2 linked regions of the Arabidopsis thaliana genome follow. The protein of the gene in region 1 interacts with the protein of each later gene in a pairwise test. Each region holds a gene or a part of one and is shown on either strand. Other genes may lie near its edges.

Region 1 (6,767 bases):
ATACAAAACCATCATTCACCAATATTTCAAATCAACCATGAATCAAGCATCTCTCATAAACCCTAAAATTAGATTAATTGTTTTGGAACTAATTATCATACCTCGTGATAATCAATTGTTCCAGCGGAATCAATGTTGAATTTGGAATCGAGACCTCTCTTCTTCACGATATCTCTAAAGACACCTTCAGCCGCTGGGCTGCGACAAATGTTTCCGAGACAGACAAAAAGAACAGAGTAAGGTTTGGTTTCGCTGCTCTGCGTCGGAGGAGGAGTCGCCATTGAAGATGATACAAAGCACCTAAGCGAATGAGAAATTCTGGGTTTTGCTCGGATGATAGAAACGAGATTCGGGTTTTTATCAGATGATCGGAAATGAGAAGGACGAAATTGTCTAGTGTAGTGGCAAAATGGTAAATATGAAGGGATTGTTAGAGAAGCCGTGAGGTTGGGACAGTACATCATCATTCCCCTGAAAAGTTGGAGATTTGGGATATACGAGTTTTCTTCTTCTGCTCTTTGAACTCCTTTTCCGTAATAAGCAAAGTAATAGAGGGGTATAATTGGGAATATACATAAACAATTGTTGGATTAGGAGTAGAAGAAGATGTTAGATTTTAGAGACGAGGCTAATGCTAGAAGACCAATTTTGTTAATGTATTGTTGTATTGTGTTGAAGGTACTGAGGAGAACATTATGGTCGGTAATGCAAATAATTTTGTGTAAATTCACAGAAATATTTTTGTTTTGGCCGGCGATGTTTAACTTTCATGTTGTGTTGTAACTTCTATGACAAGTTAAGGGCCTTTTTATCCATGAGAAACCCACAAAGTTTCTCAAACAAACAAAAAATTAATATTATATTATAATTTGATTTTTTGATTAAAAAAATATTTTTGTTAAAAAGTTGAACCAATAATGAGAAGAGAATTATCATGATGGGTTGTAAAGAGTATCTCAGAGTTTCTCAAGTGAGAAACTTTCTACACTCTTTTTCCTTCATTTTTATTATTTTTTTTTTTTAATTGTGAGAAATTCTTACAAGAAACCCCCGATGGAGATGGTCTAAGTGTCTCATGTTTCAGTACTTTGTTGATGGATAATGCGTTACTTATTGGCCCAATTGTACAGATGGTCTTTAAACTCAGGCCTAAGGTTTTCAACAGATAGCCCATTTCATTCTCCGAAAAACAGTTAGTACTTATGACGATTATTTTTTAATTCGGATATATAGTTACAATTTACAAACCTCATTGAAAAGATTTGTTTTGGTCATTGTTATGAATGTTCTAAGTTATCAATTTATTTGAACCTCTTTCACTTGTATTTTTTCGGTCTGACTAGAAAATATCCGGTTTAAGACGAGTGTTACAAATTGGTAATATATCCAGGGCCGGACTTAACAAAACCGGTTTCGACCCAAGCAATTTGTCTTTCAATGATATGGTTATAGACACTTTCCTTATCCAACCTAAAATGTTTCTGCTGATTTCATTAATGAGAAAATACAAGGGTTATATACACTTTCCTTATCTAACATATTCACCCGAGTCAAACCGGTTAGGTATATGCAATTGAGTTAAACCAATATCTAAACCATAATGGTTTCAAAGGAAATGAAAACGAGGCCGAGCGACCAGTCGACCACTAACCTGAGGTTCGTGCAATAGGGATTTGAGTTCACGATACAAATTGTTCACCAATAACACCATCCTTGTACTTGGTGACATAATATTCAAAAGACAGTGATTAGATATTTATTTATAATTGTACCATACGAAGAAAATACTAGTAATCACAACTGAAATAGAACAAACACAAGATATGTATATGTCATTATCTTAATTCTGTAGGGGCCTAGATTTATATGTCTCTTTGTTTCTCTCTTTTGAAACAAATCCTATACCAAAGATCTTAAAAATTCATAGAGAAATCAAAAATCCCTCTCAAATAATTCCCTAATTATTGTCTATTTACATAAATAAAACATCTCAATTATAGAATACTGTATCATCATCTCCTTAACAATCGAACTATTACCTTAAATTACGAAACGCACCATATCTCAACCCTTAAATTACAACTTTGCCATCTTCTTTTGATTCTATTTTTTCTCTTCCCCAAAAAGGCAAAATCTCACAGTTACTTCTCTCTTTCTCTCCCTCTCTTCTTCTTCTTCTTCTTCTCTCTCTCGTCGTCACTCTCAGTAGATCGGAAAATGGAGCCATGGATTGACGAATTAACCGACGACTTACAGAGTGTAAGCTTTACATCAGCCGGAACCACCGTGAATCGAAGCACAAGCTCCGGTTCTCGCTCTTCCTCCTCCGCCGCAGCTTTAACACCAGCACCATCAGCTCACGGTTCATTCTCATCTTCGAAACTCCCTCCTTCACTCCGATCATCTCTCTCACTCTCCGATCTCAGATTCCGTCTCCGTCTCGGTTCCGGCGACATCGGCTCTGTTTTCTTAGCCGAATTCAAATCCCTAACCGCCGTAACAGAAACCACCGCCGTTAAATTACCTCTGTTAGCAGCGAAAGTTATGGATAAAAAGGAGCTCGCGAGCAGAAGCAAAGAAGGTAGAGCTAAGACGGAGAGAGAGATTCTCGAATCTCTTGATCATCCGTTTCTTCCGACGCTTTACGCCGCCATTGATTCTCCGAAATGGCTCTGTTTATTAACGGAGTTTTGTCCCGGCGGTGACCTTCACGTTCTCCGTCAAAAACAGACTCATAAACGTTTCCATGAATCCGCCGTCAGGTAACAGTTTCCGTTAAGTTATTTATTTTTTTAAATATTCAGTTTCTAATTCAAAAAAAAATCTTTTGGGAAGTAATTATTACTATGAAGCAGTGAATAAATATAAAAGCCTGATGAAATCAGGGAAGTGGGACTCGCCAGCTGGCGAATTGTCTCGTAGTTAACACTTAAAACACACATAACTGAATTTAATGGCACCGTTAATTAATCACTAGTACTAGATTTATTGCCTTTTTAACGGTAATTACATCGTAATTATAGTAACGAGATTTAGTTTCCGTAATTTCTTCTGAATTTTTGGCAGTTTTCAGTAACCTTAACTTATATAATTGAAATGAATTTTTCCAGATTTGTTATTGGAATATATGTTTTTATTGATTGATGTGCACGATAGTGTAGTGTATTTTTAGATAGACTAGAAAAGTCTATATACGCCACATGAAAAGGGACTAGAAAGTGTAATTTAGTTATTAATTAAAACTATAAAGTGGCGATTTATTTATAATATATAGTTTTTAACGGCAATTATGCACTAATTATATCACAGGCCCGTTAAGTTTGTTACTTGTAATAATAATACGCCACACAAAAAGGGACTAGAAAGTGTATATTATAAAACCATAAAGTGACGATTTATTTATAATATATACTTTTTAACGGCAATTATGCACTAATTATATCATAGGCCCGTTAAGTTTGTTACTTGTAATAATAATAATCCTAGTGAAAATCACACACAATCGAGGTTTAATTTCCGTAATTTAATCCGAATTTTTGGTATTTTTCACCAATAACTATATATTATTCATTGATGTGCTCGATAAATGCTTTTGTTTTATAAACTAGGAAAAGTCTATTTACGCTACACGAGAAAAGGGACTAAAAAGTATATTTTAAATAAAACCATTTGTATAAGATATGGTTTTTATTTTATTTTTATTTTTGTAAGCAGATGTATGCACGATTAACAAAAGTTGTGTGTGCATCTTACTTACATGTGTGGGCATATCGTAGGCCATAACGATTAATAAAAAGTCAAAACGAGTGGGGTTTGACTTTGAAATAATAACAAATCACTCAGAGACACGTGTAAGTCTTGTAGTGGTACTCCGCGTGATTGAATTAAAATCACGTAGCATGCCATTGAAGTTGAAAATTAATATTTTTTTGTAATCGGGCATGTGGTTACAGTACAAACAACATCCCAGCTAAGCTTGTTCTTATTTACAATTGTGCCAAGCTTGTTCTTCATAACAATATTTACAATTGTGCCATTCCTTATTAATTGGTTGGTCCTACAATTAGGAGGAAATTTTTGGAAAAATTATGAAATATTATTAACCTGTTTTGAAAAGTAGCTGTGGCTTCGAATTGAAGTAGCTGAAGTTATATCATTTGTTAGTTGAGTTAGCCACTTTTATAACCATTTATGGACCAATTTGTATCACGTGGTAAGTACTTGAAAACCGGATCTTGTTGTTTTTGGTTGATGTTAAATCTGATTTATTTGTGTTCTTAAGTTATTGTCAGATTGACATAGTAGTAGTGGTTTACACGTTAAAGATCCTACAAGTGAAGTCAAGGTCATTACCATTTGAGCATTTTTGCTTCACTCTCGCGACTTGTATCTGTGTGTTTTACTCATGAGCAGGACTTAGTTTTTATAAGGTTTCTTCTTTAGTATTAAAGTAAAATGATTTAGAATTGGGACCAAAACATGTATTGTAGGGATTCCTTAATATATATCTTCTTTTTTTAAGGTTGTCCTACAAAAAAGGTCCCCATTTCTCTCCACTTAGCTGCATTTTTTCATATAGAATGGGTTACTTCCTTTGAACTCATTTAGATTCTGATTTTTCTTTAAATGATATAGAGAACAATGGCTCTACGGAAATTCATACATGAACCGAATAAGATTGTGTGAACTTGTTCTTAGAATTCGTCTGTTGTACACTATGACTCTGTTTTGTGTGGAGTATGTTTGTTGATTGTGGACCCGTGAAGACAAAAAGGGTCAGCTAGAGGAATCTTGGATAATGTCTTAGCACCAGAATTCTCTATTAGACAAAAGAGTTCGTTAAGCCAACCAACCTTCGTAGGTCCTCTTTTGTTCCTTATGTATAGTGACATCAAACCCAAAACATCATCTTCTTGTCTCCAAATCCAAACAAATGCTGTTTTGTCACAACACCTAAAACTGTAAACCAATAATTCCAAAACAAACTCTTGTTAAATTATTGTAAAATCTCAATTATTCGTTTTGTCCTCACTACCATGTTTTCTTCTCTTTGTCCCTTCTTTTCAGATTACTAATCAACATCTCTTTACTATTTTTTCAGATTCTATGTATCGGAAGTGATCGTAGCGATTGAATATCTTCACATGTTGGGGATTGTGTACCGCGATTTGAAGCCTGAGAACGTGCTGGTTCGATCAGATGGTCACATCATGTTAACTGATTTTGATCTCTCCTTAAAATGTGATGAATCGACTTCCACACCACAGATAGTGCTGAACCGGAACAATCTTCCTAATGGCTCGTCTGACCAGAACGAGAACCAAGGCATGGACCACCGTCAAACCACATCATCCTCTTGCATGATCCCTAACTGTATTGTCCCTGCTGTCTCTTGCTTCCACCCGAGAATCCGAAGGCGTAAGAAGAAAACTGATCACCGTAACAACGGTCCTGAGCTTGTGGCTGAACCTGTAGATGTCCGGTCCATGTCATTCGTTGGGACGCATGAGTACTTGGCTCCTGAGATTGTTTCAGGTATTCTTCAAATCTTCCTCATTCTCATTTCCCCTGTTTCGATTTGAATGATTTTTATGTCAAACGTTTTTCTTCTTAGGGAAGTTTATATAATGTATAATTTTCCGATGTGGTATCCTAACATGAAACGTAAAATGTGGATGGCAGGAGAAGGACATGGTAGTGCAGTGGACTGGTGGACATTAGGGATATTCATGTTCGAGCTGTTCTACGGAACAACACCGTTCAAAGGAATGGACCACGAGCTAACCCTTGCCAATATCGTGGCTCGAGCACTCGAATTCCCGAAAGAACCAACGATTCCAAGCGCGGCCAAGGATCTGATCTCTCAGCTACTTGCCAAGGATCCTAGCCGACGGTTAGGGTCATCTCTAGGTGCAACGGCCGTGAAACGTCATCCATTTTTCCAAGGAGTGAATTGGGCATTGCTCATGTGTACTCGTCCTCCTTTTCTTCCTCCGCCTTTCCGCAAAGAACTTTTGTCAGATGACATTTGTCCGGAAACCCATGTCGACTATTATTAATAACTTAATTAGCGCTACGTAATTAATTAATTTTCTTCAGATATAATTATTTCTAAGAAACAAAATCAGCCTAATACTAGTATAGTTGCACTTTATGAAGAAAAAAAGCTTAGTATAAATGCATTTAATTAACGTTTAGATGTTCTTTTTGTAAGTTCTTCAAAACTAGTATAATTGAAGGAAAATAACTTGCTAAATTATTAATGTCAGCTGCAAAAAAAAAACAAAAAAACAAACAATATACGAAACACAAATTCAAAACTAATGCAAACCCTGCTGGACTTGGCGACATAATAATAATAATATACACGAAGCATCTCAGCCATTTATTGTAAGACCATCTCCATCAATAAAAATAAGGAAAGTTTCTAAAAAAAAAAAATAATAATATTTTAATCAAAACAGATATATTAATTATTATTTAATAGTTAAACTAATAATATGATGACACCTGTCCAAATTGGATGAGAATAGTTTCTCAAAGTTTCTCCTCCGAAAAACTTAACTCTCCTTCTCTTCTACTTTTTTTCATCTCTCTCGTACTTTTTTTTTTTAAATTTTTTTTGTTTTGTTGGGTATCTCATTGAAATACTTCCAATGGAGATGCTCTAAGTGTTTTGTTTAACAAAGCGCTAAACGGACGGAGATTTAATATTTAGCGCATTGAACGTTTTATCGGAATTTAAACAATTTTAAGCGGTTAAAACA
Region 2 (3,937 bases), on another chromosome or scaffold:
TTGATTTGTGGTATAAAAGTCTAAGATTGGATGAGAGAAACTCTTAAGGATCGACGTATAGGCGATGGTATAAAAATCAAAATGGAAAGCTTTTACCATGCAAAAAGAACCATAGCATTTTTGTTTTAAAGAAAGAAAAAAAAAAGAAGGAAAAGAGTCATAGATATTACCATGCAAAAATATGGAAATTGTAATATATATACGTGATTCCCATATTATAAGATTAGAGCTTTTTCCGCCAAACTAATTTATTAATTGTAATTATTGATTACAAATTTATAGATATTTCAAAAATGAAGTCACAAATGAGAAATGAATCAAATGAAACAATCTATAGAAAACAAGATATTATAAAAGTCAATTAGTCAGAGTTTATACATGCAAAAAAAAAAGAGTCATGGAGCTTTCAAATATTAAGTCACAAATAGGATATAATCGAGACTGCTAAAGATGTTACGGTAATAAATCCGAGCATATTACATGCCATTGAAAAATAATACGTTCTATGATAAAAAGTCATTTGATCGGAGCTTCGTGTTATGTGTTCTCTGTTCTTTCCATATTGATTCGCCTTTACATGCGATTTTTGTCTCAGTAGCCGCTAAATAAGGTGATTGGTTAGAATTTAGAAATATCAAGAGTTGTATTAAAAAACAAATAAACGAATGAATAAATTTTGCTCGAATGTGAACATAAAATAAGCAAAAGATATAGCATAATTCCACGTCAGCATACAACAAGCTGACCCAAACAGAAAAATAGAATTCAAACAACGGTCAATTGTGGATAACCAAACGGTGGGTGTGGAGATAACGGCGATAAAAGCGGCATGCTCAGAAACTCCGTCAAATCCCAGTCATCTATCGCCGTCAAACCTGACTCAACATTCTCGCCGCCGCTAACGTCGTAACTCTCCTCCGTCTTTAGCACTTTCTCAACCACCGTCACTTCCTCCTCCTCGCCGTCTCTCTTCCGTTTGTTGTACAGGCCACGACCATCTTCAGCGCGTGGATTCCACTTGTCAACTTCAAGCGGGAAATTCAGAATCGCCTTTGATCCTCGTAGTCTAAACGCTTCTTTGTCGTAAGCTCTAGCCGCTTCGATCGCCGTCTCAAACGTCCCGAGCCAAACACGAGTTCCACGACGAGTCGGGTCTCGAATCTCCGCCGCGAATTTCCCCCACGGCCTCATCCTCACTCCTCTGTAATGCCTCTTCTCCTCTGCTGCTACAACCGGTACGGGAAGTTCCGGTTTAGGATTTCCGGTTGCGAATTGAATCCACTTGGTTCGGTTCGGTGGTGCGATCTTCAACGGCGGTTTTCGATTGGATTGAACAGTAACGCGAGGAGGATTCGATTGGAACGTGAAGGAATCGTTCGATTCAGATGGAATTTCAGATTTCACATCGAAATCAAAAATCTCCGGTTTGGGAGTGACGAGATCGATTATTTCCGGTTTGGTTTCAAATTCAGAAAACTCGAAACCGGTTTGATCAAATGACGTGAAATCGTTCATCCATCGATTGGTGGTGGCAGTAGTAGGCAACGGAGACAATTCGTCGAGGAGATACTTCTTGATGAGGAAAAGAGCTGATACTTCGTTTGGTGTAGCCATTTTGGAGGAAACAGAGAATTGAAGAGGAAGAGGGATTTGATTTGACAGTGGAGAAGAGAGAGTGGAAAGGTGTATTTATAGGAAAGAGTCAAGTCAATGAGAGACTCTTTCAAGGCAACATCCTCAGGATTTTTTAAACTTAAAATCTAAAATTATCAAATGCGGGATGGTGTATGTACACGCGTGTTTCACCGGTTTTACACCGTTTGATTAGATTATAAACCCCTCGTCAACGGTTTGATCGTGTGGTTCATCAATGGCAGCTGGGGTAAAAAAACAAAACACAAATATTTTAATTAGGCTGCGCTCTAATATTGGGTTTCTTTGGCAGATGATTAGACAAGAATTTATCGATTCATGTTTATCAAAATATTAGTACGGTTTAGTAATAGTTATTATAAAGTACCTTTCGTGTTAATATTTGATTAATTTACTACTCGTTGTGAGAATTCTTCGCATGCATGCATTTGCAATATCAAAATTTAGCGGCCGTATCAACTCAATGTTTGGATAAACACACGTTTTTATATAAAAACTTATGATAGTTGCAAAATTTGATGGAAGAAAAACACTGGTTTTACTTCACGTACGTCGGATGTTATTTTTGTTTTTGGATTAAAAATATTTTAGTTATGAAGACTAGATTCTCTTTGTCGAATGTCGACGATGTTTTCGTATGGTCGCCAACATTTTGTGGACAAAGACCCATGGAATTCTCGTATAGCTGCCCAAAAACATTTAAAAAAAAAAAGTCCAATAATTTCAAGTTCAACCAGTAATTTGTTCATCCAATCTCTACATAATCTTTCGGGATAAAATATCCATTATTTTTGTTTTATACATCTCAGACCAGAAAGCTGTTTTTATTTCAATGATCAACACTATATATATGTTCATTTCTAGCTGTTATATAATCACTGAAAACTAAAGTGTTGTTAAAATGTTGCCGAACATAGTAAAACATTACACCGATAAATATACATTTTTATTGTGTCTACGGGTACAAGCTACAAAATTATAAGCTTATCGCTTCATTTGTAAGTGAATAGATATTACCTTACGTATAAAACATAAACTAAAACGCAAACACACAAAAATGCATGCATAATTAGACTATCAGAGGAATCGTAATATTAAAGTTATAGTCTCGAAAGATAAGGGCTGCGTAATTAGCGGAATCGTAATACTAATTAAGTTCTAGTCTCAATTATTCTACAATAATTATAACCAAAAATATATATTTTACAACAACAAACCATGTGACCACTTTTGGCTTTGGTTGCTGCTTTCGAACGTGATATATCCATTTTACGTCTTCGTACGAATGTGCTTACTTCATCATAGATATTGATTCATACTTGAAACTAATTTACAAAGCCTAACACACACATATGCAATTTTCTATCAGTATGACAATTTATACTATATATATGAAACATATTGCTCAAGGCTTATCCTAGATGTAGGTTTAAATGAATCTTCTAATATATTTTTCAAATCAACGTTTTCACTTATTTAAAACATTTGTAAATAATTTACATGTCTAGTTCAGCTCTGTGTGTCTGTCCAGTACTTATGTTCTTATTACAAATATCTTTGTTTCAAGGGAAATATCAATGGGTATTGCCCAGACGAATCCATAATTAACTTCTCAATAATTACAGAGTATTCATGTTTACTAATTCGTTCCTACAAAAAAAAATGTTTGCTATATTCGTTCATGTTAGCTATAGTTTTTCAAGTTTTTCTGGAAATCTAGGATGTCAAAAACTGAAAGAAAAAAATCTAGTACTTAAAAAATCAATTATTGATTGATTTCTTCTTATCATTAGTCTTTAATTTTTATATATATATATATAAACATGCATTATACATATTTAAACTGGGATAATGGTACCGTTACACCAGAGTTGTGTGTTAGAAAACAGCCAAATGCCAGAATCCACAACAAATGAAAACTTAGAGCCTAGAGGTCCACATGTTTCCAAAACTAGGCTTATGTTACGTATTTGAGTTTAAACTAATTTCTAGACTCTTTGTTTAACTGAGTCTAGAGAGGATGTCAGTTAGATTCTTTTTATTTAAAAAAAAGTCAGTGAAGAAGTTCGATTATGTAAATATCGTAAATGTTTTTTTTTTACAACAAGAGACATAAATTGTAAACTACCCTTAAGCCTCTAAAACGTAGTTAACGAAATTAGACGAGATTAGTATTAACCACTATACAACATGTCCTACTTTCATACTATATTTTCTTTATTAAATTTTTGTTAATATGTGAGATTTCCTGTTCTAATTTAGTTATTATTCTATAAATTTTCTA

What was found.
Region 2: the proteins of AT3G44610 (region 1) and ERF6 interact in a two-hybrid assay, tested with the Arabidopsis thaliana proteins (one large-scale study listed by BioGRID).

What each region holds. Positions count from the first base shown.
Region 1 is NC_003074.8:16,187,558-16,194,324, reverse strand, and holds AT3G44610 (Protein kinase superfamily protein), read left to right. Parts: upstream 1-1,959; 5' UTR 1,960-2,217; coding exon 2,218-2,762; intron 2,763-5,101; coding exon 5,102-5,535; intron 5,536-5,682; coding exon 5,683-6,059; 3' UTR 6,060-6,196; downstream 6,197-6,767. Other genes in the region: AT3G44620 (protein-tyrosine phosphatase), read right to left, coding at 102-467.
Region 2 is NC_003075.7:9,752,208-9,756,144, forward strand, and holds ERF6 (ethylene responsive element binding factor 6), read right to left. Parts: upstream 1,955-3,937; 5' UTR 1,615-1,954; coding exon 766-1,614; 3' UTR 617-765; downstream 1-616.